Tribolium castaneum: one gene and its partners. Each later gene encodes a partner of the first gene's protein in a complex. Links are inferred from orthologs where the notes say so. Each region holds a gene or a part of one and is shown in the gene's direction. Other genes may lie near its edges.

The links.
Region 2: Nup160 (region 1) and Nup153 share a complex: the UniProt entries of both Drosophila melanogaster proteins name them as parts of the nuclear pore complex. The link is inferred for Tribolium castaneum from reciprocal best matches to the Drosophila melanogaster genes Nup160 and Nup153.
Region 3: Nup160 (region 1) and Nup75 share a complex: the UniProt entries of both Drosophila melanogaster proteins name them as parts of the nuclear pore complex. The link is inferred for Tribolium castaneum from reciprocal best matches to the Drosophila melanogaster genes Nup160 and Nup75.
Region 4: Nup160 (region 1) and Nup107 share a complex: the UniProt entries of both Drosophila melanogaster proteins name them as parts of the nuclear pore complex. The link is inferred for Tribolium castaneum from reciprocal best matches to the Drosophila melanogaster genes Nup160 and Nup107.
Region 5: Nup160 (region 1) and PCID2 share a complex: the UniProt entries of both Drosophila melanogaster proteins name them as parts of the nuclear pore complex. The link is inferred for Tribolium castaneum from reciprocal best matches to the Drosophila melanogaster genes Nup160 and PCID2.
Region 6: Nup160 (region 1) and Mgtor share a complex: the UniProt entries of both Drosophila melanogaster proteins name them as parts of the nuclear pore complex. The link is inferred for Tribolium castaneum from reciprocal best matches to the Drosophila melanogaster genes Nup160 and Mgtor.
Region 7: Nup160 (region 1) and Nup54 share a complex: the UniProt entries of both Drosophila melanogaster proteins name them as parts of the nuclear pore complex. The link is inferred for Tribolium castaneum from reciprocal best matches to the Drosophila melanogaster genes Nup160 and Nup54.

Annotation. Positions count from the first base shown.
Region 1 is NC_087395.1:25,114,010-25,118,147, reverse strand, and holds the start of Nup160 (nuclear pore complex protein Nup160 homolog), read left to right. Parts: upstream 1-1,338; 5' UTR 1,339-1,434; coding exon 1,435-1,519; intron 1,520-1,568; coding exon 1,569-1,991; intron 1,992-2,152; coding exon 2,153-2,342; intron 2,343-2,392; coding exon 2,393-2,738; intron 2,739-2,786; coding exon 2,787-3,038; intron 3,039-3,256; coding exon 3,257-3,620; intron 3,621-3,673; coding exon 3,674-3,846; intron 3,847-4,138. Other genes in the region: uncharacterized protein LOC655733, read left to right, coding at 292-322, 435-782, 830-962, 1,017-1,209. UniProt on the Drosophila melanogaster protein: Functions as a component of the nuclear pore complex (NPC). Involved in poly(A)+ RNA transport. Required for nuclear import of Mad. May play a role in double strand break DNA repair. Essential for nephrocyte development.
Region 2 is NC_087394.1:31,192,339-31,194,990, reverse strand, and holds the end of Nup153 (nuclear pore complex protein Nup153), read left to right. Parts: coding exon 1-459; intron 460-510; coding exon 511-590; intron 591-647; coding exon 648-702; 3' UTR 703-2,152; downstream 2,153-2,652. UniProt on the Drosophila melanogaster protein: Component of the nuclear pore complex (NPC), a complex required for the trafficking across the nuclear envelope. Functions as a scaffolding element in the nuclear phase of the NPC.
Region 3 is NC_087399.1:876,580-880,879, forward strand, and holds Nup75 (nuclear pore complex protein Nup85), read left to right. Parts: upstream 1-1,500; 5' UTR 1,501-1,609; coding exon 1,610-1,633; exon of another isoform or gene 1,634-1,678; coding exon 1,679-2,120; exon of another isoform or gene 2,121-2,340; coding exon 2,341-2,594; exon of another isoform or gene 2,595-2,640; coding exon 2,641-2,763; exon of another isoform or gene 2,764-2,817; coding exon 2,818-3,036; exon of another isoform or gene 3,037-3,169; coding exon 3,170-3,285; exon of another isoform or gene 3,286-3,335; coding exon 3,336-3,872; exon of another isoform or gene 3,873-3,925; coding exon 3,926-4,130; 3' UTR 4,131-4,180; downstream 4,181-4,300. Other genes in the region: mRpS23 (small ribosomal subunit protein mS23), read left to right, coding at 1-20; uncharacterized protein LOC660898, read left to right, coding at 51-415, 636-879, 929-1,365, 1,411-1,498; oxidized purine nucleoside triphosphate hydrolase, read right to left, coding at 4,186-4,300. UniProt on the Drosophila melanogaster protein: Component of the nuclear pore complex (NPC) that seems to be required for NPC assembly and maintenance. Required for nuclear import of phosphorylated Mad via importin msk.
Region 4 is NC_087395.1:26,509,940-26,514,101, forward strand, and holds the start of Nup107 (nuclear pore complex protein Nup107), read left to right. Parts: upstream 1-1,362; 5' UTR 1,363-1,452; coding exon 1,453-2,316; intron 2,317-2,366; coding exon 2,367-2,528; intron 2,529-2,768; coding exon 2,769-3,229; intron 3,230-3,505; coding exon 3,506-4,162. Other genes in the region: sodium-coupled monocarboxylate transporter 1, read left to right, coding at 1-46. UniProt on the Drosophila melanogaster protein: Plays a role in nuclear pore complex (NPC) assembly and maintenance. Required for nuclear import of Mad. Mediates the association between the nuclear pore complex and a subset of active chromatin regions adjacent to lamin-associated domains.
Region 5 is NC_087397.1:8,459,988-8,463,460, reverse strand, and holds PCID2 (PCI domain-containing protein 2), read left to right. Parts: upstream 1-1,454; 5' UTR 1,455-1,609; intron 1,610-1,675; 5' UTR 1,676-1,687; coding exon 1,688-2,884; 3' UTR 2,885-2,973; downstream 2,974-3,473. UniProt on the Drosophila melanogaster protein: Required for the export of nuclear mRNAs and involved in mRNA trafficking in the cytoplasm.
Region 6 is NC_087394.1:8,229,026-8,232,525, forward strand, and holds part of Mgtor (nucleoprotein TPR), read left to right. Parts: coding exon 1-1,640; intron 1,641-1,691; coding exon 1,692-1,855; intron 1,856-1,905; coding exon 1,906-2,085; intron 2,086-3,500. UniProt on the Drosophila melanogaster protein: Component of the nuclear pore complex (NPC), a complex required for the trafficking across the nuclear envelope. Functions as a scaffolding element in the nuclear phase of the NPC.
Region 7 is NC_087397.1:2,066,925-2,071,032, reverse strand, and holds the start of Nup54 (probable nucleoporin Nup54), read left to right. Parts: upstream 1-1,308; 5' UTR 1,309-1,408; coding exon 1,409-1,466; intron 1,467-1,922; exon of another isoform or gene 1,923-2,598; intron 2,599-2,648; exon of another isoform or gene 2,649-3,392; coding exon 3,393-4,108. Other genes in the region: sra (protein sarah), read right to left, coding at 202-674, 720-912. UniProt on the Drosophila melanogaster protein: Component of the nuclear pore complex (NPC), a complex required for the trafficking across the nuclear envelope. Essential for the nuclear import of nuclear localization signal (NLS)-containing proteins in an importin alpha/importin beta-dependent manner.

The DNA of each region.
Region 1 (4,138 bases):
TCGTTTATCGATTAAGAATTTGTAGCAAATTGAGTCATAACATAAGTGAATTTCCTCGAAAAGTGCGCGGATTTTCGTTGACCGATGACGAATCGGTCATTTTTATGCAGCCCCCAATTCATCGCGTCAACAAAATGGGTTCCGCGAGTTTATATTTTTCTGCACATATTGCACTTGTTCCTTTTCATTAAAATGTTGGTTTGAAGAGAAATAGAAGGTCGCGTGACGTTCTAGCGTCTGTATAAATAATCCGCAGTGCACACTTCAAAAGGTCAATTTCCAGGATTGGTCATGAAAATTACAAGTTTCCTCGTTGTTGCAGGTGAGATTTTTGTTTGTAGGTCATGGTTGGCTTGGAAAATGTGACACATGGGTTCGTTTGTTTTGACCCAAGCCCACTCGAAATTACGCAATATTTGACCGAAACTTTTCAGGGCTTGTTTTGGCGAGTGTGGCGGGCCAGCAGGGGAACTCCTCTGACAAAATCTCCAGGTTTATCTATGATAGGTGTCGGGTTTATAGCACAGACGCTTCGGCTTACGATGATATAAAGACCCATTTGGGGCAATTTGGCGATTATCTTTCGTACGCTGCGAGTTTATTGCCCAATGGTAAGGAGCAGTTCTGCAACGACGAAAGGCCCACACTGGCCCGTCTAGCCGCCCAGCTTGCCCATGATGTCAAACCGTGTTTGCCCAAAGACGAGAAGTATTTGCCCAAGTTCATGGTTGAAAGCTTCACCTCATTTCTCGACTTTGTGTGTTCCCAAAGAACCATCGAAAGTAAGATTTAAAATTTTGAAAACTATTTTTTATCAAGGAAAATACAGATTTCTTCAGTACCCAAGGGGCAGATTGCCGCCAAAACTTGAAACTCAACCAAGAGGGGCAACAAGTTGGAAACTGCTTTACTAAACTATTCGCTCGGTTTAGCGACGTGGTCCGGAAAGACGACCTGTGCCTGTAGGTGCCCCCATGATTACAAACCCAACTTTTTCATCTTTCTTCTGATTCTAGTGACTTAAAAGCGTCCAAGAAGTGCTTCAGTGAGGCGATAGCCCGTAGTTGTCCCGATTTCGCCGCTTTTGAGTCGTTAAACAACCGATTTTTCCAAGCAATTCGCAAACCCTGTAACTCAGCTATTTCCATTGGCTTCAGCAGCGTTCTACTCCTCCTAGCATCATTCACTTCAACCAAGCTATTCTCATAGTTATTATATTATCCCTCCACGTATTATAAATGTTATTTTTGTTATAAATGTACGATAAATAAATAAATAAGTAGAATTTTGTCTTATTTTCTGACCCCGCGCCCTCTGGTGGCGAGTTAACCTGAGTTTGAAAATTATCTAACCGCCACTCGCCGACCTTGATTTTTTGTTTCCGTAAACCTAACCTAACTTTTGCACAAAAAACCGTTAAAACGGGCTAAAACCATGCAAGAAATCGCGTTGGGGTACCGGGAGGTGATCCCCGACCAGACGGTGTCCGATCCCTGGCGCGAAATCACCCTCAACACGGGTAATATCACAAAAATCGCCGATTACGTAAAACTGAGGTTATGTAACAGGGGGGACACAAGGGACGCTTCAAGATATCAAAGTCGCGGAAAGGGCCAACGGGTTTTGTTACCGCGACTCGACCAGACACCACACCAGGAATCGGTTTATCTACTGGAGGATTAGCCACGATGTCCTGGAGCTCGTGGAGCACAGTCTCGATATAAATCTCGCCGGAAATCGCATCAGATACAAATTTGTGGACACCCCGATTTTGGACGGGGTTTCCATCCATGAGACGTACGATAATGTGGTGGTTCTGGTGCCCACGGTGTGCAGCGTCCATAGGTTGGTGTTTCCGCATCCGGATAAGTACCACCGGCAGGACCATGTCGCGGGGGTTCACCCAGATCTGGCGGCGCCGTCGGTGTTCAGCGAAGCTACGGCCAACGAGGCGAGGGATCCCGCCACATTCCACTTTTTCACCAATTCGAGTAGGTCTTGTAATTTTTTAAGTCACGAGCCGGAGACGAGTGTCGTAACGAGCAAATCATAATTTTTTTTAAATAGGTTTGCCAAATGGCAAAATTAGATACGTTTGCATGATTATTTAAAATATTGGACTTCTCATGACTAGATGAACCCTTATTTAAAGGTTCTCAGCTGCCATATCTGGCCGCCTCTTCCCTGACCCTCGCTGAGGAGGAAGCAATTTTCGTGTTGGCCTACCACTCCGGCGAGATCCTCCTTCTGAGACAGTCCCCCGAGGGCAAAATCGACTCAGCTGAGCTAAAAAGCGAGTCAATCGTGCCCCGCTTTCTCTCAGGTCTCGCCGACAAGCTGCGGTACAACCCTTCATTTTTTCCGGCCCGGAAAACTGACGGTTTTTTTGCAGCCAAAAAGACAAAGAAGGCGACACTACCGTCAGCCTCATTTTACATACTTTCGGTCTTGAAACTTTCGCTTTGACACTTTGCCGCAACGGTCATTTGAAATTCTGGTCGTGCTCAAAGGCCGAATGTGTCTCAGTGATCGACGTCATGGCCGAAACCGGCGCCAGAAACCAGCTGCAAGGCGCTCAGAACCACATCCTGCGGAAAGCCGTCGATGGGTTTGATTCTGAGTGTCTGTTGGGTATTTTCATGAGTTTCGCAGCCAAGAGTCAGTTGCATGTGTTCAAGCCGATGCTCAGTGGCTCGCAGGTTCGGCTAGTGAGGCTTAATATACTTGATTTGGCTCAGGTGAGTCGTAGGTGGGATAAGTGATAGGGGGTAAGTTTGGGGTTTTAGACCGATTTGATCGATTTTACGATCTCGACAAGTCGGATTTGGTCGGTTTGGCGCGGAAAAGAGGGCCAATGTGAGGTGTATTCGGCCTCGAACCAGGCGGGGAGTCACTGGATTCCCGTGGTTCTGGAAAATGTGCCAGACGCCAGCCAACCGTTGAGCATCGACGGGGAGACGGATCCCAGGCAGAGCTACCTCCAGCACATCTTCCACCCGGGCAGGTTCCCCTTGCATATAATCAGCAAGGCTTTGAACGTAAGTTTTCAAGTCAAGCTGATTTTTTTACTGTATTTTTCGAAAATGTGCCATTTGTTTTTCTCTAAACCTCTTAGTTTCTTATTTGGTTGAGGCACAATTAATGTGACTCCTGGCGACCCGACAAAATAACAAATTGTTGCTTTTCAAACCTTTTATTTAAAAAATATACATAAAAATTATTGCGCGTTTTTTGTCACACCAACTGCTTATTATAGATTTACAAACGCTCGGCCGTCATCAGCGACTTGAACCTCTCGGCGGCCCATCTCAAGCAGCAGATCTGCATGGCCGTCGAAGACGAGGTCCAAAACGAGCTGAAGGAAACCGTCGTCAGCGACGAAGATTATCTCGAAACCGCCAGCTACTGCTGGCAACAATTCTACTCCTGTTGCGTCCAATACCACGTCGCTGGACTTAAACCTTTAGGCCTCCTTGTTCTTCCAAACTCCTCCGGGGCCGTACTTTTGAAAAAATCCATGATTTCGTTTTTGCGACCTCTCGATATTTTTGAACATTTCATCTACGAAAGCGACCACATGTTTAGGGACCAATTCACCAAATATTTCCTCTTGTCTGAGAGTAATTAAACCGCACAGTTAATTAATCAATTGTGATTGGTTCATTTTTTGCAGATGTTGATATCACAGACGACGTGATCAGTTTGTTCAAGGTCATTAATTATTTGGATTCGCAGATGAGTGAGATTTTCGCGTACACGTTCGAACGAGAGTTGGCACTGCTGAAGTCGCCTGATGTCGTCATGGGGGCTCTCCTTGAGCAGATCCAGCGCGAGATGGACACCGAGGTTCGTACTTTTTTTATGTTAAAAAAATATTCTGGGGCTTTTGAGCCCTAAAAAACGTTTTACAATTTATTATCTGGTACTTTTACCGTGGCGCCTGGCGAACCATTCTTATATTTATATCACAGAAAATTTTAATGACAGCTGCTTCTGTTGATATCTGCTCAAATCATTTACGGAAAACTCTTGAAGAATTTTAAAATTATTTAAAGCACTGCAATTTATTGTAGTTTTTGAGCTTTCGCGTATTTTTTCGATCTCGCGTAAATAGTTAAGCAAAAACCGCCCGATTTGT
Region 2 (2,652 bases), on another chromosome or scaffold:
GGTTCGGTTCCGAAAATTCCAGCCTTTGGGGCGTCCCAGAGCTTCGGGACGAGCGAAAGCAAGCCGTTTGCGTTCGAAAGTGCCCCCAAAAATGCGGGTTTTTCGTTCGGTCAGGCCGAGAAACCGAATACGACGCCCGTTTTCAATTTTGGGAGTGCAGCAGCAGGGGCGTCAAGTGCGCCAAATACAGGGTTTAGCTTCTCGGTGCCTAGTGCCGGGTTTAACTTTGGTGGTGCGCCCAAAGTGGAGAGTCAGCCGTTTAATGCCGGGGGGAGTGTTTTCGGGACGGCGGGACCAGCGGCCAAGAATGGGAGTTTCAATTTTGGGACAAATGCGAATAATAACAATCAGAAAGCGGTGTTTAGTTTTGGGGCTAATCAGACTAATCCGCCGCCGAGTCAGCCCAGTTTTCCCAGTCAGGGACAGAGTCAGCCGGGGTTTAATTTCGGAGCACCGACCGTAAGTTAATTGTTTTGTGATGGTGATTTTTTTTTAATTTATTGTTTGCAGCAACCACTTAATGTACCCGGGGGTTTCAACTTTACGGGCGCCCCACCTACATTTAACTTTACAGATGGAAATGCAGGAACGTAAGTAGTTGTATTTGTTTATTACGAGAGAAGTTACAAGTGAATGTTTCGGTTTAGGGCGCCGCCCCAGCGAAAAATCAAGAAAGCGTTCCGACGGACGACGCAGCGATAGTTTCCTAGAGTTTGTATATAGAGGAGTGATTGTATCGTGAAACAAGAAATTGGAGTTGTGTGAGTACGTGTTAAGTTTGCTTAAATTATGTAAAGAATAAATGTGTGGATCAATCACCTTGATATTAAAAACAATATTTGTTTTCAGACCTATAAATGTTAGCTAGGCATTAATAATAAATGGGCCACCTGTGAATATTCGAGTCCAGGCATTCGTCTTTCGAACATGTAATATAACGTTGAAAATCTTCAGAATTTATTTACCATATCTGAATGTCTGCAGTTACAAGTAATGTTCACAGATGCGTCGGTGTACAAATGACACTGTTGTACACGGCATGTTACTCCCTACATTGTATACCATAGCGTAGGCATTTCAAAGGTCTGATCCATAGAATGTAGAATTTTATAATGATGATGAAGAGGATTTTCATCAATATTGTGTGATGATGAATATGATGAAATATTTGTGAAATTTTTGAATGATTCGTACCATATAATATTTATATGACGGCCAATACTGGCTACTTTTACTGTGATATTCTTATGGGTCAGGCCCCATACATAAGTATAAACAATATGCATATAAATATAATATCTAAACTAATCAACACAGACAAAACGAATTATTGTTTTTATTGCAAAAGTCCATGGTAGAAGACTAGATTATTTTTTTACGTTGTAATTTGGTTTGTTGGAAGAATTTGGCAGCCAAGTTGTTTATCAAGGATTGCTGAGTATCGAACTAGTAATTATTGCAATGCAATAGTATTTATTTTTTATTGTTAATTTAGTTTTTGTCTGTGTTATCTTATCAAAAAGTAGGCTCACTCCTTAGTTCCTCAAATTGAAAAAGTTGTAAATATTTGTTTAAAAGTGTGGTTTTTAACAACACATCTATTTTGTATAATTATATTCGTAGGATATATTTAAATGAATAATTTTTGTTGTCTGAAATACTTGTGTTGTTTTACGTAATGAGCCGTTATTGGGCTCTTTTTATGTGAGAAGTATTAAAAGGAGTTAGACTGCTTCGTGTAAATATTGTAATTCTACATGAAATAAAACGTTTTGCTGAAAATTTCATTTTTACTTCAGCTATTGTTATTCCTAATTCATTTATCACGAGGTTGCGTTACTTTTTACGAACGGATGGAATTTTCAGCATATTTGTGCCTTTATTTTTTTAATGTATAATTTTATTAGTTATATTTGTCAAGAACTTGGCCTAGTTTTGTTTAAATTATTTTCGTTTGGGTAGTTTTACATATTTATGTTGAATGTGAAGTTTACAATGGAAAACAACTGACAGGAGCACCCTATTTTTTAATGTTCCAAATCATTCCTACTACGCTAGTATCTTTTTAAATTATGCAATAATTTATACTTAATAAAGCCAAGTTTTGTTAAATTTTGTTTTAGTTAATAAAATTACATTAGTTATAAAACCATCATGAGTATGTATTGACCTAGTTTCTTTTTAGATCCTGGTACTATCTGAAATTCCTGCAGTTGTTCTTAGTTACAAAATTTGTGTGGAGGACAATAACTTTACAACTAAAAGTCCATATAGATTAAAAAGTTTTAATGTTACTTGTATGGAACATTTCAATTTTATAAGATTATATATAACAGACATACACTCAAATACATGGAGACAACTATACAAAGTATTTCCTCAGCCAAATGAAACTGTGCTAAAACGTCTGAAGAGCCTTAATCCTGTGGAAATTAAGACTAAGGATTTGCGTCAAAAGTTGTACTTTTTTACAAGTTATAATTTTAAAAGTGAAAATAAAATATAATACAAAAGAGATGTAAACAAGATAATTGTATAAAATCGTCCTACAGTTGTCATATTCAATTATCTGGATGTACAAAATTAGTGTAACTTTATTTATATTGAATATAACAATTGTATTTTATAAATTTCTTACATTAAAGCAACATA
Region 3 (4,300 bases), on another chromosome or scaffold:
TTGATATATTTAAATCGTAGTATTTTTTTGTTAAAATCTAGTCTTAATAAATGTTTTTTGTGACACTTTGTTTTATTTTACGTCAAATTAAAATGGGTAAAAAATTGAGTCGTCCACGAGGTAGCGAACAAAGCACTTATTCCCATATTTTTTATACCGGGAGTATCGAAACTATTCCACCATCAATCACCTATCCTTCGATATGTACTTCCCCCTCGTTTCATTTGTCTGAAAAGCCTTCGGTGTCGAAGTGTGACAGTGAATTGATTCATTACGGCGAACTGCAGAGTATGTACATCAAGTCTCAGACTTTCACAGCTGATCATTTGGCCCCCTTGACCATCAGAACCTCACAGTTAGTGCTGTCGCTTCTGAAGAGGCATTTGGGGCAAATTGTTAGCGACATCCACGCAGGGTACTGTTTTATTTAATTTAATTTTTTTGCCTATTCAAAAAATTCATAACTCAAAAACTAAAATTCGTAGAACAAAACGGTTTATTCCAGTGAATTCAGCGACTCATTTTACGTATCATATGTTTTTTTTACAACACTAGCTTACTCCAGAACGTATTTAAACACTTATTTGAATTTGAAAAATGGTGGATGCGCCGGGTTATTTTCTATTTTTTGGCAGGACATTGAAAATGCCTGATAAAGTGGTAGAAAAGTTTGGGGCTGCAAGTGCCCGGAACCCGAATCAGCAAACAGACACATATACTATCCAAAGACGAATGATCACTCATTTCGTCTCGTTACTTCACGTTCATGAAATGGTTTTAACTTATCTCAAACAGAGACGCATCGAACAAGCGCTCGATTTAATCAAACAAATTGCAGTTAGCCACGCACTTAAGGGAATCACAGTGACTGAATTTCGGGTAAGTCCCGATAATTCTCTAACTTGTTTTGGCAAAATACGACTTGCAGTTAGTGGACTGGTTTATTGTCAATTATTTGATAAAAAATAAAGTAAGCACTGACGAGAACATAAACCACTTGATGCTTTACTTAAGCACCCTTTCAAATTACATTGTGCGATATTTCGAAAGTCAAAGTGTTCGCCATACGATGCTCCGGGACATGACTAGTGTGAAAGTAAACGATCGGAGCAACAAAGCAAGGGAAAACTACCGTTTAATGAAACAGTGGACCTCCAGAATTGAACATTCCAGAGGCCAAATTAAGGATCTAATTGACAAGCTCCTCGCAGATCAAGCCCGCATGCAGGAAGCCAGAGAGGCAGAAATTAGGAGCATTGACACTCAAACGCTCAAAGAAAAAGACTTCATTATGCGATTTTTCGTACGCAAGAAACCGACAGAATCGCGCTCAACGTCACACTCGCACCAGGAGAAGGCCTCAACGTGAGTATCACCCCAATATAACAAATTCAAAATACCCGCCCACAGGATTGACGGCGAAGTTAAATCCCTACCGTTACCGTTCTCGCTACCAACCCAAAACGAAAGTAACCCTAGTAACCGAACAGATTTCTAAATTACCGACCCGGCTAACCGCTCTCCTCAAACAAAATTCGAAAAAAATACGGTTTTTTTGAATGAAAAGGCGCAAAATTTCGTGTTATTTAACGCTTCCCGACCCGTATTAATGGACAATACCGCCAAAACTTTCGTAAGCAGCGATCAATTTTTGAGGTTAGGTCATAATAACTTGTAGGTTATTCCAAATGAGTTATGCCGACGTGCTGGAGTGGCGGCTTCGTGGCTTTCCGTCAACGAATTCGGTGTTTTCGGCCACCAGAAAACACCAAAAGTTGATAAACCGAGTCACTTTGCCCCCTCGGACGCCTCTGTGTTTCAGCTGCGCCCCGACATTATTCTCTTCAAACCAATTTTACGCAAATTGGTAAATGAGGCCAACGGGACGTTTCTAACCCTTCAAGCCCTTGTAGCCACTGAGGGCGACCACAAGGCCGAATTATTGAAACTTAGCCGGCAGTACAGGTCCATAATAAGGGCCTGTTTGGAGAATTTGCAAGACGAGGTGATGCGAGCCGATGGCGATTATCGCGAAGAATTGCAAAATTACATTACGATTTTTTACTCAGTTGAGTGTATTTGGCACTTGTGTGAAATCTTATTTGTTGATGCGGTCCCAGGTGGGTTAGTGACACGGATATCTAAAAGCTAGGATGCGAAACGACGTACAAATAAAACGTCCTGAACTCGGTAGTTTTATCGTTAACTATATTTAAAAAAAATTCCGGACTTTTTTAGGTTCAGAAAATCCGGTAATTTCGTACATCGTTTCCTCCTAAGTTATAGACCTCTGTAGTGACACAAAATTTGGGGATTTTTGCCAAACAGTTGGGGTTTTAGGCAACATTGTTTTGCCCCACTTACTGGACTGGATTCGGTTTCATTTTCCGAAATATGACCGAAATGCGGCAAGTATGTTGGCTGGGGATTTGGGTGGTTTGGAGTCACACCCTGACTATTGGGAAACTGTCATTGGGTCACTATTACAAGGGCGGGTCAAGGTCGTTAGGGCCCTACTTAAATTACACTCAGAAGCTGAGTCACAACCTTTCAGAATTGTGGATCAGTGTCTGAGAGCAATGCCGGTTTATAACGTAAGTAGGCTGGGAGAAATTGACAGGTGTTCATGGCCGACTTTAGATGTTTAGTGGGACTTCAATCGCTGAATTTAATCTACAATGGAATCATTGGGTCGTGGATGTTCAATCGAAAATTGATGCGAAAATGTTTATTTCTTGTTATAATCTCAATTTGATTATGAAGGTTTTGTTTTAAGTGTGTTTGAGTTGGTAGTTTTCTTTATAAGATTTTTTGTAGCTTACGGTTGGTAACGAAATTGCATGGGGGGAAATACAGCAGTATTGCGAGACGTGGTATGAAATGTTAGCCGCGTGGTTATTTTTTACCCAACCTACTGTTAAATCGTTTGAGTTGGGACAGTTTGCCAAACAGTGTATCACGAAAATGTCCATAGGGAATAGAATTAAGCATTTGGATAGGATGTTGTTGGCAGCAATGGAGTTTGATATTTTACAGGTAATATGGCGCCACCTCTGTTAAGTTATTAAATAAAACTGAGACTTTTGAATAATCCTGTATTTTTCGGCTATACTTTTAGTTTTACACTTTTTTGCAAATGTACACATAAATTCTAACATTTCTTTGCCAGGTGATTAAAGAAATCCAAAATATGACAGACAGTGGCTGGTTTGTGAGCCACTTAACCGACCTACTTTACCATTCAGGCCGTCTAAGCGACACAACTATCGAAACTATTGAAAATTTGTGAGTCCCCGATTTTTTTTAAACCGTTTATTTTACAATTATTATTTCAGCCACCCTGATAAATTGCGCGAGTCATTTTTAATCGATTATGGCTCGCTTTTAATGGGCCATAAGTCACTATGGCAGGTCGGTTTAAGCTACTTGGACCACTGTCCCAGCGATGGCCCTGAAGTCACAAAATTACTACTTGCAAGACTGCCTCTAAATTCCGAAATGCGGGCTGAGAAAATTGTGAGAGAGGCTCTGAACCGGAATTTAACCGAAACGGCACAAAGTATTTGTAAAGTGCAAGGAATGGCTTGTAAAAACCGGGGGCGTCTGGGACACGCCCTCGCCTGGGCCCTCAAATCACAAGACGGCACTTTTGTGTCGTTTTTATCGAACAAATTTCTGCGAGAGTATGCCGAAAGTGGCGATTTGAACAGTATTGATCTTTTGGATAATCTCGGATCGTGTATTTTGGCAAGCGATAGGTTGATGTTTTTAGGCAAATATTACGAATTCCAGAAGTTATATCAAGCGAACGAGTACAAAGAAGCCGCCAATTTGCTCGTTTCGTTACTTGAGTCGAAAATAATACCAAACTTGTAAGGGGAAAACACTTAAAATTGCGGTTTTTTATCTAAAGATTATCTTGTAGTTTCTGGAGTATTCTATTAACTGACGCAATACCGCTACTTGAGTGCGAAAAAATGGTTTTTTCCTCAACTGATACCTACATCATTATGCAGTGTTTGGAAGAGCAGGAAAAAACCAAAGACTTGAAAGACAAACTTCCGATCTTGAGACTGTCAGCGACCCGGAATTTAGCACGAGCTTTGGTACACGAAGCCCAATTAAAATGATGATTTTTTTAACAATTTTTTATTAAATAAATACTTTACGTAAACAATAATACTTTTAATTGGCCACTTTAAGTGCACTCGCCAAGTCCTCAAATTCCTCAATTTTCGTATCAGTGATTGTGTCAGGGTCACTGTAAGTCACTCTGGCCGCAAAAAATTTCTCTTTTAAC
Region 4 (4,162 bases), about 1.4 Mb from region 1:
TTTCACTCAAGACGTACAAATGGAAGTGTACAGAACCAAATTATGATTTTTCTTTCTTCCTAGAGATGGATGTGAGAAATGGACACGGACTCGTGTTTTTAGTGCCTTTTATTTGGCAACATCTGTGATCTCTAGCTGATAAGATACAAGTGTTCGATTGTTGAATTATGCAAAGACTACTTAACTATTTTTATACCTTATTACATTGTTATTATTGAATAAGATTGTACAACTTGATACGCGTACGTGTTGAAATATTTATTTTCTTTTGTAAGCTTAGACTAGTGCTAACAACGAGTATTTATTACAACATTTTAGTACAATAATATTTAATTAATAATAAGCGTAGTGTTTGTTCAAAGAGTTTAAGCTACCAACGAAAATATAATATAAATAAAAAAAATTTTGTGGATTTTTGCCTCCTTTAAATGCCTACAACCGAAGTTATTGACAAAAAAAAACGCTCCAAGTACTGAAAAGTCGCCCAATATTTCCAGAATCTTAAGTCAATGAATTTCCGAAAATACAAATACATACCACTAATGTGCAGTAATCTAATTTTTGTTGAAAAGCGTACAATTTACCTCACTTTGTGCTTAAAATGTACTTTTCCTAACCACAAATGAATTGACAAATATTTGGAAAGTGATGTTTTTTACAAGTTTTCAAGAAAACTTGCTTTTTCACCAATTTCCAAAAATAATGCCCACAATAATGTGCAATAATCTAATATTTTGTTGAAAAACATGCAAGTTACCTTACTTTGTGCTTGAAACTTCCAAATTAACACTGAACTTCTAAACTAACACTTAACACTTCATTCTTCCAAATCCTGATTGTCACAGTAACTGAATTTAGGAATATCCGGGGAAAAACTGGTGTTTTTTTTCCACAATTTATAAAAAAAACGTAATTAAGGTAACTTTTTCACAAATTTTTCATAAATGTAGACAAAAAAGATCCGGGCACACACGAGAGACGCGATAATGGAAAAAGTGTTGCCAACCAAATTCACTGAATTTCCGAAAATAGTACCAATAATGTGCTATAATGTTAAATTTTGTTAAAAAAACATGCACCTTACCTTACTTTGTCACTGGAATCACCAAATTATGTAAAAATTACACTTAACACTAAGTAACATCATTTTTCCAAATTCAGTATTCACACATGATTTACAAATTTTTGAAAAAAACCGGTGTTTCCTACCACAATTTATAAATTGAACTTAATTAAGTTACGTAATTCAACACTTTTTTCACCAATTTTCCTTCAATTTGAACAAAAAACACGATAAACACAAACAGACGCGATAATTTGAAACAAATGACGATCGAGGAAAAGAAAAACTGTTACCAACCTGAATCTAGGGACTTTGCAACGCTCTGAGGCAACGCTAGACTTGTTTTTTGAGGTTATGCAACGGCTTTTTGTGTGTGTTTTTTATTAAAAATGGATAATGATTTGGAACGGTCGGTGCGTCTTCTCGAAGACGCTCTCCAGACCCCCACAAAAGGGCTATTTAAGGTCTCGACCGCAACTCCAAAGCGTGAAAAACCTAACCTCAGCTTTACAATAAACCCCGAAGACTTAACCGGCCTGGAATATGGAAGTGTTTATCAAAACACCTTGTCTTTATTTGTCGATGATGACAAAACGGTCACCGGGTCGGTGATCCAAGCAGGAACTCCATGGAAAAACACTGTTAATAATTTATATACAGAGTTTGCGGATATCCTGCAGGGGTCCACCGGAGGCCTTGATATCCTGGACGTGGCCGAAGACTTGGCGAGGTGTTGTAGTGACGCTTTGGCGGTGGTTAAGTCACTGAAAGCCAAAGTGGCCACTAGTGAATTAGCCGAAGAGAAATGGCTCGAAAATGAGCGGAATAATTGGAGACTGCTGTATGTCCTGTACCAGGATCGGATCCAGGCCCAGAACCACAGTAAGGAAGGGTTTGAGGAGGATTTCGGGAGCAGTGAAAAGAACTGTGTGTGCGAACTGTTCAAACGAGAGAATTTGGTTAGGGAAAGCCAGTTGGTGATCGATTGGCTCGAGAGGAACGCTCTGGAGAAGGGGGACCCCATTTTAATGCACTCAGACTGGACGTATGGATGGGAACACACTTTGCATCAATTGCTAGCACCTGATGCTATTGCAATTGGGAGTAATGTGGATATTATCAAGAACATACATCCAGATGCGCCACAGTTTCAGCGCTTATCGCTGCACCACTTGGATTACGACAATGACAAAAAACTATGTCAGAGAATTTTTATGGAAATTAGGTGCGGCAACCTTGAGGGCGCCCAGGAAGTTTGTGCTGTTTTCAGCCTTTTATTATTTATTCAATAATTAAATTTCAGTTATGTTACAACAGTGGTTATCCATGGCGCGCTGCGATGTTAGAAGGCTGGAAGCTTTTTCATAATCCCAACCTGGAAACAAGTCTTGAAGAGTATAAAGACGTAGAAGGGAACCAAAGGCGGGATTTGTGGAAATCTTGCGCATTAGATTATTGTCATAGGGTAAGTTTTTCGTTCCACAGCCTCTTTGACAGTTCGGGAACTTCGCTATCTTTTTTTTTGATACCATTGTTACTAGATAAACCGATGTCACTTTGGCAGTTGTAAAACATGTATTTATTTTATGTTTATTTATTTAAAATTTCTGGAAAATAATTAACCAAATTTAGGACTGAAGACGAAGTTTCGTATCTATCAAGGAGGCTGTTTTATAAATTTGAAAAAACTACTAAAAAATTTCAGTCAAACTTGAACATTTATGAAAAAGCCGCCATTGGTAGTCTTTGTGGTTTCTTGGAGGGCATTTTGCCCGTTTGTACCACATGGGAGGACCACCTGTGGGCCTACATGCGAACCATGGTCGATATTCGTGTTGAATCGGAAATTCGCGACTCAATCATTAAAAACTACATACCACTACCTGAAGAATATTGGGAACAAAAGAAATCATTAAGTGAAATTTTTACAATTTTGGAAGCCTCGAAAAATATTGACATTGCAAAAGAAGCGCATGAAATTGATCATGTAATTCAGAAACTTGTCATTTTAGACGAAATTCCCACACTGATACGCCTCCTAGATCAGTGGAGTGAAGATCTAAGTGTTACGACACAATCTCTTCGATTTTATGCTCACTTAGTTTTGTTTTTTGAAAGCGTCGGAGACTCCACTCATAGAAAAACGTGTGAAAAAATCGTCGAAACGTAAGTTTTCTTGGTTGTATAACTCGACTTAAGGCCGGGCGCTTTAGTCTCCCGGTATGGTGACTATAAAAAAATTTGTGTCTAGTGTATTTTATGTTCTTAATGTTGACCATAATCTCGTCAGAACTAAATTATTGCTTTTAATATTTTTACCACTTTTTTATAGCTACGGTATTATTTTTTGTTTTATTTGACTTCGAGCTTCTATAAAAAAACATAAAGTGTTTGCTACTCACCGCTGCGTTGCTTGTGTTTTAATATCATTTGTTTAATTAGATATATCGAGCGTTTGAGCGAAATGAACGAAACCCAGCTTGTGGCCTTCTACGTGAGCAAGCTGGGAAAATCCAAACAAATCCAACTTTACGCCAAACACTGCGAAAAACTGCTTTCGACTGAGCAACGCAAAAACGCCCTTACTTACGCTGAAGATTTCAGTTTGGACGTATTTGCTATAACGCAACAAATCGTCGAAATTATAACAAGCCGACCGTCTGAATCCGAACTTCCCGGTAATCTCCAAGGTAAAATCACCGAAATCGACGAACTCAAAATCTCCGCTATTGATTGGCTGATGTTTTACGAGGAGCAACGAGCCGAAGCATTGGCTCAAACCAATTCTATTATTTTCAAATTTCTGATTTTGGGCAAATTAGAAGCAGCCCAATTGGCAATCAATAAAATTCCTTACGATTCTATAGAGAAGATACGCAGCGAAGAGCAGATTCATCAGATTGTTAAGAATTATTTGAGTTATAAAGCGTATTTGGATGCACATGAGGCGTTTAACGAGTGGTTTAGACAGTATAGGAATAAGCCGATGCCACCACCTGAACTGCCCGAAAATGCACAATTTACTGAAAAAGTTGCTCATAATCATAAAGTCTCGCAGTTTAATGCCGAAGCGGAACGGTGGAAATTGACGACATCGCA
Region 5 (3,473 bases), on another chromosome or scaffold:
TATCAGACTTCAACAAATTGATTTTTATTGTGCTCTGAATCATCTAAAGAAGGCTCGATTTTTCATAGTTTATAAACGGAACGAAATCAACTAGTCCAAACCAACTTAATGCAATACGAGTTGATTAAGTGCACTACTATTGAACATTAAATGGAAAAATATTTACATAAAATATTTACAGAATTTAGATATGGATGTGAGCCCTCTGTTCGCCTAAAAATATTTTCAAGTTTCTAGCTTTACTCAGAAGAAAAATATGAGGAAATGAAGATGTGAACACAAATTTGCTTTATATTAATTTTTGAATTTTTTTACATAAACGTCTTTTTTACAGTGAAGGCTATTCCAAATCAAAAAAAAAACTTTCGGATTTAAATTCAGCTAAAAAAATTACATCAGAATCATATTTCAGTAAACGTGTCAATTCTGTTAAATAGTTCTTTATTTTTGATTCTTTTTTAAGTTGTTAATAATTACGTTGCATTTCTCAAACTATCATAATCATTAATCACACAGACATTCAAGATATAGAATATTGCTTTTTTATATTGTTTTATTTTAAAATTATAAAATGTAGATATAGAAAAAATAACTTTTTATGGTACATAATAAGGCATACTAAAAGTATTTAAAGCAAATTTGGAATTCTGTGTAATTATTTAGCTTGTCATGCAGTAAAAATATACTTTTGCTGGGACACCCTGTAAAATTTGTTTTTAAATTTTATAGATGAACATAAAAACCTTTTATATGCTTTTGTACGGTCATCATTTAAAACATAACTTGTTTGTAATTTAAACGTCGTCTACCTACTTATACTTATAAGTTTTTTTTTGTAAAATATGGTTTTGTTTTTTAAGTAGCACTATACAAACAAATACTTTTAAGTTCGTAATGTGTAGCTTTAGTTTCTAATAAACAGTACTTAATTTTTTTGTTTCATAAGGAGCTAAAAGTAAACTACAATTAACGTTTAAATTGCTTATTATACTGATTTATGGGTCTGGCACGTGAAGCATTATTAAAGTTTAAAATAGCAAAGAAGTAAATAATTTCTTTCCATAAATTCCATTACTAGGCGCTTTAAATTCATTATTGTTGAAGTTATTACTTTCCTGTGTAATGGATTTTTAAATTATGATTTATCCTTGACTAGAATAATAAAACGTTTTCACGACTGTGTTTATAATTTCCTAAAAATTTTTTAATAAAATCAAGTTGGATAAGTTCCCGGTCAAGTTGCATCAAGCTGTTCCTCGGAGCGCCATCTCTGTGTGGGAAGAAAACATGCGGCTTGCGAACTGGTCTACGAACAGTTTTCGTTTTTATGGCATTTTACTTCCAGGATTTGCATTAATTTAATCCCTATTATTAGTACTATGGGACATATAACACGAATTAAGCTCAAATATCTTAAATTTTGTTAGGTCACAGAAATTATTATTGATTTTACTTGTATGAATCGCACCGCTCCCTATCGGCCATTTTATCACCATTGCAAAGACTTGTTTATTTTCAAGCTTATTCAAACATTTTTTCGTCAAACTCGTAAGACATAATGTTCTTTGCGTAACGGAAGCAACAAATATAACACTTGTGCCTAAATCACGTGAGTAACAGTTCAATTTCATTTATAAATGAAGCGGTTTCGGTTAACTGACGCCCCTAACCTTAGTTTTTCAGCAAAATGACTTTTATGTCCGTTGCTCATTACCTACAACTTGTGGAAAGGTATTGGCGGTCTCAGGACGGTGCAAAAGTGGCCAGTTTTCTGTCTCTTCGCCACGAACATGCAGGTTATGCCAATTACCACATTGAGAGTCCTGAGGGAATAGTTGAGCGTTTTTTGACCGCCCCTATCGACGAATTAGTGATTTTGCACCTAAAATGCCTGTTTGCCATAAGCCAGAGTGACTATCTATCGGCTTATAACATTCAGAGCAATTTGACGCAAACTTTCACTAAGATCTTGCAATCGCAAAAGGAGGAGAATTGGTCTTTGCCTATTATGTATGTCTTGTGCTTAGACTTGCGTCTTTTGGCGCAATTAGCCGAGAATCAGAGGAGCGGAATTAATGAGAAGCCCGGCGAAATGCTCGAGAAGGCAGCAGAATGCTTGATGGGTTGTTTCAGGGTGTGTGCTGCTGATAATAGGTCAGCAGAGGAGGATACAAAGAGGATAGGGATGTTGGCTTTGGTGAATCAATTGTTTAAGGTTTATTTTCGGATAAATAAGCTACATTTGTGCAAGCCCTTAATCAGAGCGATTGAGTCATCACCGTTTAAAGAGAGTTTTTCTCTGAGCCAACAAATCACATATCGGTATTTTGTGGGGCGCAAGGCTATGTTTGATAGCGATTATAAAGTCGCCGATGAGTATTTAACTTATGCTTTTGAAAATTGTCACAAGCTCAGTAAGAAGAACAAAACGCTTATATTGATTTACTTAGTTCCTGTGAAAATGTTGTTGGGGTATATCCCAAGCAAGGAGGTTCTGGAGAAGTATGACGTCATCCAGTTGTGGGATTTAGTACAAGCTGTATGTCAGGGTAATCTCAAAGCGTTTGACGAGATTATGGAAAAGCACGAAACCTTTTTCATCAAGTGTGGAATATATCTGATTGTTGATAAACTGAAAATCATAGCATATAGAAATTTGTTTAAAAAGGTGTATTTGATTCTAAATACGCATCAAATCCCTATTGAAGCACTGCAGACTGCTTTAGTGTATTTAGGACAGACTGATGTTGATTTGGATGAAACAGAATGTATTGTTGCTAATCTTATTTATGAAGGGAAAATTAAAGGATACATTTCGCATCAACATAGGAAGGTTGTTGTTAGTAAACAGAATCCATTTCCGCCACTTACAAGTCTATCATAATTAAGTTTTTATAAGTTTGTATAATTCGTCGTTCTCTACCTGCATTGTAACTATTTTGTAATTGCATATGAAATAAACTGTTAAAACTACCCGTTTTTTGTGTTTTATTAAAGCATAAACGTAACGTCTATAAATCTCTATACTGCGAAGTGACTAAGCGACCCTGCTGTCATAAGAAAAAAGCTAAATGTTGTATGCATAATAAAAACCGCATTAAAAATGTTTATGGAATTTTTATTTTATTAAAAATTGCTTTTGTTATTCGAAGAGGTCACAACTACAGTTGTTTTTTTTTAAATTGCTCAGATTTAATCTCGATACGAATCGTTTTGAAAATCAATAATGCATATTAAATCACCTAATGATTATGCCCATATAGGTAAAAAATATTCGTTTAAGCTTTACATAATAGATACGAAGTTAATACCGAATACATCCTTTAAATGTACTGTAAATATTATATTACATATTGCGAAATTTTGCACAAAAGGATTTATTTTCCCATAGGTAACTTTGTTACCCGAAAATTAAACTCATACATTTTATATGGAAATTTTATCATAGTCAAAAACTATTTAGTTTTTTATTA
Region 6 (3,500 bases), on another chromosome or scaffold:
TTTCAAAGACATGGATGCGCAAAACAGTCTATTGTTGGACCAGATTCAAGCTCTCAATACGCAACTATCTGTCCTTCAGGCACAAGCTACCGCAGAACCAAACCAATCGGCCGACTTATCGATGAGTAAATCGTTCACTGAGGACGAAGTCAAGTCTTCCGAACAGTTGCTCACTATAATTAAATATTTGCGACAAGAGAAAGACATTGCTGTAAGTAAATCCGAAATCATGGAAGCCGAATACGAGCGGTTGAAGTCACAACATGAGATGCTAACCAAACAGTTGGAGGAAGCCAAAGCTGCGGTCGAAACCGAGCGACAGAAGTCGGAAGTTTCGGTCGTGACGGCAGCCAAACATGCCGAAGTTTTACGCAAAGTTGAGACACTCAACGCTATCACTGATAGCAATCGAGCGCTGCGTCAGGAACGGGATACGATGAAGAACCAAATTAGTGAGTTGAAACAACGGGCTGAGACACTAGCAGCTGAGTTGGCCCCAACTTTGGAAAAGAATCGAGAGTTGAATATTAAAGCCGAAGCGATGCAAACTGAAAATATTTCGCTGAGGGCTGAGTGCACGAAGTGGAGACAGAGGGCGCAAATGTTGATCGAAAAATCGAACCGGACTAGTCCCGAAGATTGGAAGAAATTGTTAAATGAACGCGAGACTCTTGCCAAACAATTGACCATCGAGAGAGGTAACGTTGCGAAAATCACTGATGAGGTCAATACGTTGAAGCAGGATAAGGGTAAGCTTGAGGAACAGTTGAGGAATGTCAGGTCACAGAATAATAACCAAGCTGAAGAAATTGCCCGGTTGAAGGAAGATATGACTTCGTTGCAAAACCAAATGCAACAGTTGACACAGTCGTTGGAACAGACGCAAGACAGTAACAAACGGTTATTGGAGGAAAATCGCTTGTTGACTGAACACACGGCTGGGAAAGACGTCAATATCACCGAACTTAAAAACAATCTCACGCAAATCCGCAAAATTGCGAAGAAATACAAAATACAGTGTGAGGATCAGATTAACGAAATTAAAACCTTGCGAGAGGAGAAGGAATTAAAGGAGACTGAACAAAACTCGAATGAGAGGCAGTTGCAAGTGCAACGCAGCGAAATGGAAGAGAGAATATCACAAATCGAGCAAAGTAACAAGGACGTGATTGAGCGACTGAACCAACAAGTCGCAACCCTGACTGAAGAAAACGAAAACTACAAGAAGGAAATCGAAAGCCACAAACAGGGTTTCTTAGATCGCGAAGAACGGTTTAAAAATCTCTTCAAAAATGCCAAAGAACGGATCGTGACATTGACCGAACAGATGAATACTTTGAGGGGGCAGTTGGGTAACCAGGAGAGTTCGTCCTCCACCAATGAAAATCCCGAAGAAGGGACGAGTAGCAGCAATAATGATCTCTTGACGAAAATCGATAATTTGGAAAAGGAGAAGGCGAATATTTTGGCTGATCGCCGGCAAGAGAATGAGAAATATGCGTCTGAAATTGAAGCGTTAATGCAGAAAGTGTCGCAGTTGCAACGACAGTTGGGTCAGCAAGGTTCCAAGCCTAGTACGAGTTCAGGGTCGGAGAAGCCGGCGAATGATCCACCCACTGCGAATATTAAACCAATGGCGGGTAAGAAGTTCTAAAAATAATGCAGTAAAAAGGTAAAATAAATGTGTTTAGGTCACTCGACAAATACTCAAACTCAGTCAGTGCCCATACATCCATGGCGCAGTGGTGAGACACCTCTGGCTAGTATAAGGCCGATGTCGCAGCAAGTTAGGACGGTTACTGTTTTACCGACGAGTCAGAGTCCAAGTGCGGTTATGGTTCCTCCACAACAACAAGTGAGTTGTTTTTTTTGTTGGGGGTGTAATGTGATTACTTTTGTGGGTAGGTTCATACTACAGGATCAAGCACAATTGAAGCACTTTCGAGTAGTAGTCCGACTAGTTCGCACACTGATTATGTACCAGCGACTAGTTCAGCTAGTCCGGCAATGTTGGGGCCAAGACAGGTTGTTGTTCCTCCAACTCAGTCCTCGCAGGACACGGAAGATGAAGACGCCAATATGCAGGTATAGTTCTTCAAATTGTGGATTTTTCGAAGTAGCTTTTTAACTTTTTTTACTAAGATTGTTTTAATAATTGTGAATAAATAAAAAGATCGGGATTACACATTTGAATGATTGGTTATTTTTATTTTTTTTATGACTATTATGCAAAGTATTTAAAGACCATAGCTGAAAAAATATTTTTTTAAATTGTTTTAATCGATTTTACACCAAAGAAAGTGCTATTGAACTTTCTTTCGGAAGAGCATGCTAATGTTTGATTTGTTTCACTCGATTTAGCTCGTTTTTGAATGAAATTTTTCCAAATAGAAGCCCAAAAAATTATAGAGTTTGATAAAAGAACATGTGTTATTTTAATATTTTCCAAACAACTAAACATATATTTCCAATTTTTTGTGTGAAACAGATTGAAAAAATTAATAAATTTAGTGCAATAAAATAATTGTTTTTCTTATTCCGAATGTTTTGATACGTTTGTGAAAAAACAAATCGAATTGTCACCAAGTTGGACCGAAAATTGTGTGAATTCTTGGGTTTTCTGTATTTTTAAACATATTGTTGAGAAAATATTAAAGTATTTTTTAGAAACTTGATCTCAATACAACAGCCAATGAAAACCAAAGTCAAAAGTGGCGTTATTTTTGTCTTTCTTGAACATTTAAGCACGTTTTGGATCTAAAATTCCAATTTGTTTCTATGAGAAACCGTAAAATTATCAATTTAAATTCAGAATTATATTCTTTTTTTGACTTTTTGACCACATTTTTTAACTTAAATTTTATTTTTTCTTTAAGAATAGATCGAGACTTGATTTGTTATATACCTAAAAATAACAAAATGAATGGAGCTTAGTTTCTTTCAATTTAGCTCATTTTCGACCGAAATTTCGTCAAATTAAGCCGAAAAAGCACAACAAAATTATATAATCTATTTTTGAGTTCAAAAGTTTTTTATCTAAACGTTAGATTGATTTCAACATTTATTTATTGGACAAGAACTTTTTACCAACATCCAAATTTGGTAAAAAGTGACATTATTTGTTGCTTTTCTTGAGCATTTAAACACATTTTAGATTTAAAATCTCAATTTGTTTCTTCGAGAATCCGTAAAATCATCGATTTAAATCCAGAATTCTTTTTTTTTTGAAAATAGGTCAAAAAGTCACTAATTATTGAAGTTATTTTAGCCATTTTTTGGTTTTGTTGAGATAAAAACCAAGTTTTTCTTAAATAAATTGCATAAAATTGCATGAAAAATCACCGAATTAAATCGAAATTGATGTTATCTTTTTCTTGTCTACAGTAATTTAATAATTAATTATTACATACCTAAAAATGACAAAATAAATGGAACTTTTGGTTAGTTTCTCTTGAACTATCTCGTTTATGTGCGAAATTTGATCAAATTAAGCCGAAAAA
Region 7 (4,108 bases), on another chromosome or scaffold:
GCTGAGTACTTTAGGAAATTATCTTTTATTAGCAACACCTTTATTATCACATTGAGTTAAATTAATGATACAGTTACAACCAACAAATGAATCACGTAATTCCATAATAAATGAGTGACAGATTCTACATAGAGAGAAATTGACATATTGAGAGGCTCTGAAGCTCACACTTAAAATAACCTTGAAGACCTGTACAAATCATTAACTCCGTTCCGGACACGACGTCTGTGGCATCCTGCCTTTGGCCCCCACGCCGTCCGCCCCCAGGGCCGTGTGCACCACGATGCTGGGCTGGCCGGGGGAGGGGGGGTGCACCTCGTGCGACGCCCCCGGCGTGAGGGTGGCCAAAGCTGCAAGAAGGTCATGATTGATAATGGGCTCACCTTCCGGCCGGGGCTCCCAGTCGAGGGGGGGCGACGCCGGCGGCGAGATTAGGAACTGCTTGAAGGGGGCTGGCGGCTGCAGGCTGGGGTTTTTGACGGGGGTGACGGGTTGAGCAAAGTAACACGTAATCACTGAGTCGTTGATTTTGTATTGGTGGAGCTGAATGCGGGCGCTGGCGGCTGCCACGGGCGTCTGGAAGTTCACTCTCAGTCTTCGGAAACTGCGCAGCCACTGGAATGTCACGTCCGGGTCGAAGTTCCGGAACAGGTTCTCCATTTCGCGCTTTTTCTCTGCAATTTTACGGTCAGATCGGGTGAGGGCTGGGGGCGGATTACCGGGCGAGGTGAAGACACTGTCGTGGATGTTGGTGACGATGAGGGACGTCGGCAGGTCCTCGAACTCGTCGTCGGTCACATGCTCGGGGCTGTCGATGTCGGCCTCCGCCAGCAGGTTGGGGTGCACGTTGGGAAGGCCGTCTTGGTCGTTAATGATGATATCGTCGTCCATTTCGCCGTTGCTTTCAGCCATTGAAAAATTGGATTAAATTCACCGACACAGGATCTACCGCGGTTTAAACCCCATAAAACAATGCGCACTTTTTCGGCTAAACTAATCAAGGCTAACTCTTACGCTACTAAATTTTAACACAAAAACATTGCAATATCAAAGTGCAAAAAACACAACCCAACAATTGCAAATGCCAAATGTCAGGAATGAATGACACTTGACAAGGGGATGAAAGCCGAAAGTTCGCCAGCCCGAATTGAAATACAAAGGAATGAGCTTAAAAAAACGTAAAACCCTGAAATGGATAGATTTCCAGATAATTAACATAAACACATGAGCGACTTTTTGATTTCGTATTTTTTTGTACAGAAAACGCTGAAATTTTGTGAAATTGCCGGTGTATAACCTAGGTTTGAAGTTTGACAGTTCTGTCAATTCGTTAAGTTCAATTTGTGAATACATAAAAAATTGTAATTACTATTTTTATATAAATACTAACGTTAAATTTAATGCAGTTATGGCATTTTCGTTCGGAAATGCAAACCAGTCGACTTTTGGAAGCCCGGCAAATAAACGTAAGTTTTAGAACCGTAAGAAAGTTAGGTTAAGTTCTTTCTATTTTGTTATTTGGTATTCACGGTTTTATTTATTTTCCCTTTAAACCGTAATTAATGAGATTTAATTTTGCCCAAAACGCCTGACTAATGTTTGTGTTCTTAATTTTTAACCAGAAAAAATCGAAAAAGTGGCAGCGTTTTGTACCATTCAGACTCAACAATACAAATCACCACACTTTTTACAGATAAAATGTTAATTGGTGTTTTAAATGGTTATAAAATTTAATTGTGATGATTGTTAACGTGTGAGTAACAATTCAACAATTTTTGTTTGAAACAAATCGCTAAAAAATGTTTTGTTTAGTGTTTAACTTAAATTTTTTGTCACGTCTGTGCTGCACAGTACACAAAAGTAATTTCATTACTTAACTGATAAAACATGAAAAACTGGACGTGTTCAATAAAAAACCTAGATTATAATTTATAAACCAAGAATTTATTTCGGCAATAACATTTTGAGGATATAAATAAACCTACCTAAGCGAGTAACAAAAATATAATGATAGTAAAATATAACAGATTATCACAAATATAATTAATACGATTTCATTCTTCCGTTTGAGATGGTAACTTGGCTCAAATCGGTTGCACAATCAAGCGATCCTGAACGGCTGGCTTTATATCGCTTATAAACGACGATAAGAATGACGATAATTAAGAGCAGACTGACGATTATAACTCCCAAAACAACGTACAAAGTTTTTCCCTCAACGTCGTATCCTTCGTAATATATTTGGTTCGAAACATCCGTAGTTGAAGAAAATACGTCAAGTGGGGTTGAAGTTGTATTTTGTGTACTGTTTTTTATTTCGGCCACTGCTGAAGTGATGTTGTTTTCAAAAATACCGATTGTTTCGGTCGTACTGTCGGTCACTTCGGTTATCACGGTGGTAATCGTTGTTGTAATATTTTGAGAAATCTCAGGAGTGGTAGCAGTTTCTGCAGTAACCGTACTGTTGGTTATTTCGCTGATGAGGGTAGTAGCTGGGGGAGTGAAACTCTGCCCAATTTTGAGTACGTTTTGATCGTCTGTGACTTGAAGGGTCGTTCCAAAACTTTTAGTAGCCCCTTTGATAGGAAATGAGAATAGCTAGAATCGGAATTTTTAAATCCAACTTGAAAAATAAAAATTAAACTCACCGTAGGGCCCGACATTGTGCTTTTTATTAGCGAAGGAAAAACACTTAACTCTGCAAGAACTTATCGGCGACTGAAAGTTTCTTTCCACGCTTTGAATTTTTATCGCTGGTGTTTATATGTGCGAACACGGTTTTCCTGCTTTCCTTCCATTCGCAGTAAAATAACAACCCGGGGATGAGTCACAAAATGCTGTTTAATGCAATTTCTTGTGGTTGGGATAAATAAAATCCGTCATTTTGTGATAACAAATTGGGAAAGCGGCACTGCAGTCGAAAAAAACTTGTTTTGAAATTATCTACGTGTTTAAATTCTTTTTAAAAAATTTGACTGGAATGACACTTGAAGGATTGAAATAATTTCATTTATTTCGTGTTTATTTCGTTTTTGCATAAATTTAAGTCTTAACAACAGCGTATTTTTTGCACGATAAGTATTCGCATAGTTCAAGTTTGACTTGCATTTTTTACCGAGGAGTAGTTTCCGTTTGGTCATTTCCCCGTAACAAATACTTTTTTCATGGAAATTCTTTTCTTTTCGTTGAAACAACCCAAATAGAAAAATAAATAATTTCAGGATTGTGGTTTCGTAGCCATTTCCTTTGGAAAACTACAAATTTCGCTGAATTTATTCAATTTATTCGATTTTTCCTGAATTAAAACGCACACTTCTTATCGTCTTAGATTATTTATTAATTTTTGTAAACACCTAGTCATAGTTTTATGTTTTTCCAATGTTTATCCACAGCCACCGCATTCGGTACCCCATTTGGGGTAACCACCACCACGGCTAGTACCGGCTTCGGCAGTTTCGGCTCTTCCTTCGGAGCCACTTCGCAGCCGTCGACCGGTTTCGGCTCAACTTTCGGAGCCCCAGCTCAATCTTCAGGTTTCGGTAGTACTTTCGGTACTCCTGCAACTTCCACTCCAGCATTTGGTTCGACTTTCGGAGCCCCAGCATCAACCTCAGCCCCGACATTCGGTACCGGCTTCGGTCAATCGACCGGCGGCGGCCTTTTCGGTACTTCCACAACCAAACCAACCCTTTTCGGAACTCCCACCACTTCAACCTCGTTATTTTCGACCCCTAGTTCGGCCCCCAGTTTATTCGGGAGCGGTACCACCACACAAGCCCCAAGTCTTTTCGGGGGGGTCACCACCTCGACTCCTAGTTTATTCGGAGCTGGCAGTACCCCAGCTCCGAGTTTGTTCGGTACTGCGACAACTTCGGCCCCGAGTTTATTCGGGACTTCGTTCGGGGGCACGGCCACCACTTCGGGGGGGCTGTTTGGGGGGAGTACAACAGGGGGAGGGTTTGGTTTATTCGGGGGTACTACTACGACGAGTGCGCCGTCGTTGTTTGGGGGGTTTGGGGCTACGCAAACAACAGGGGGGTTTGGGGGTTTTGGGACTAGTGGAGGGTTCGGTCAACAGACACAAGGGAGTTTGTTTGGGGGCGGGTTT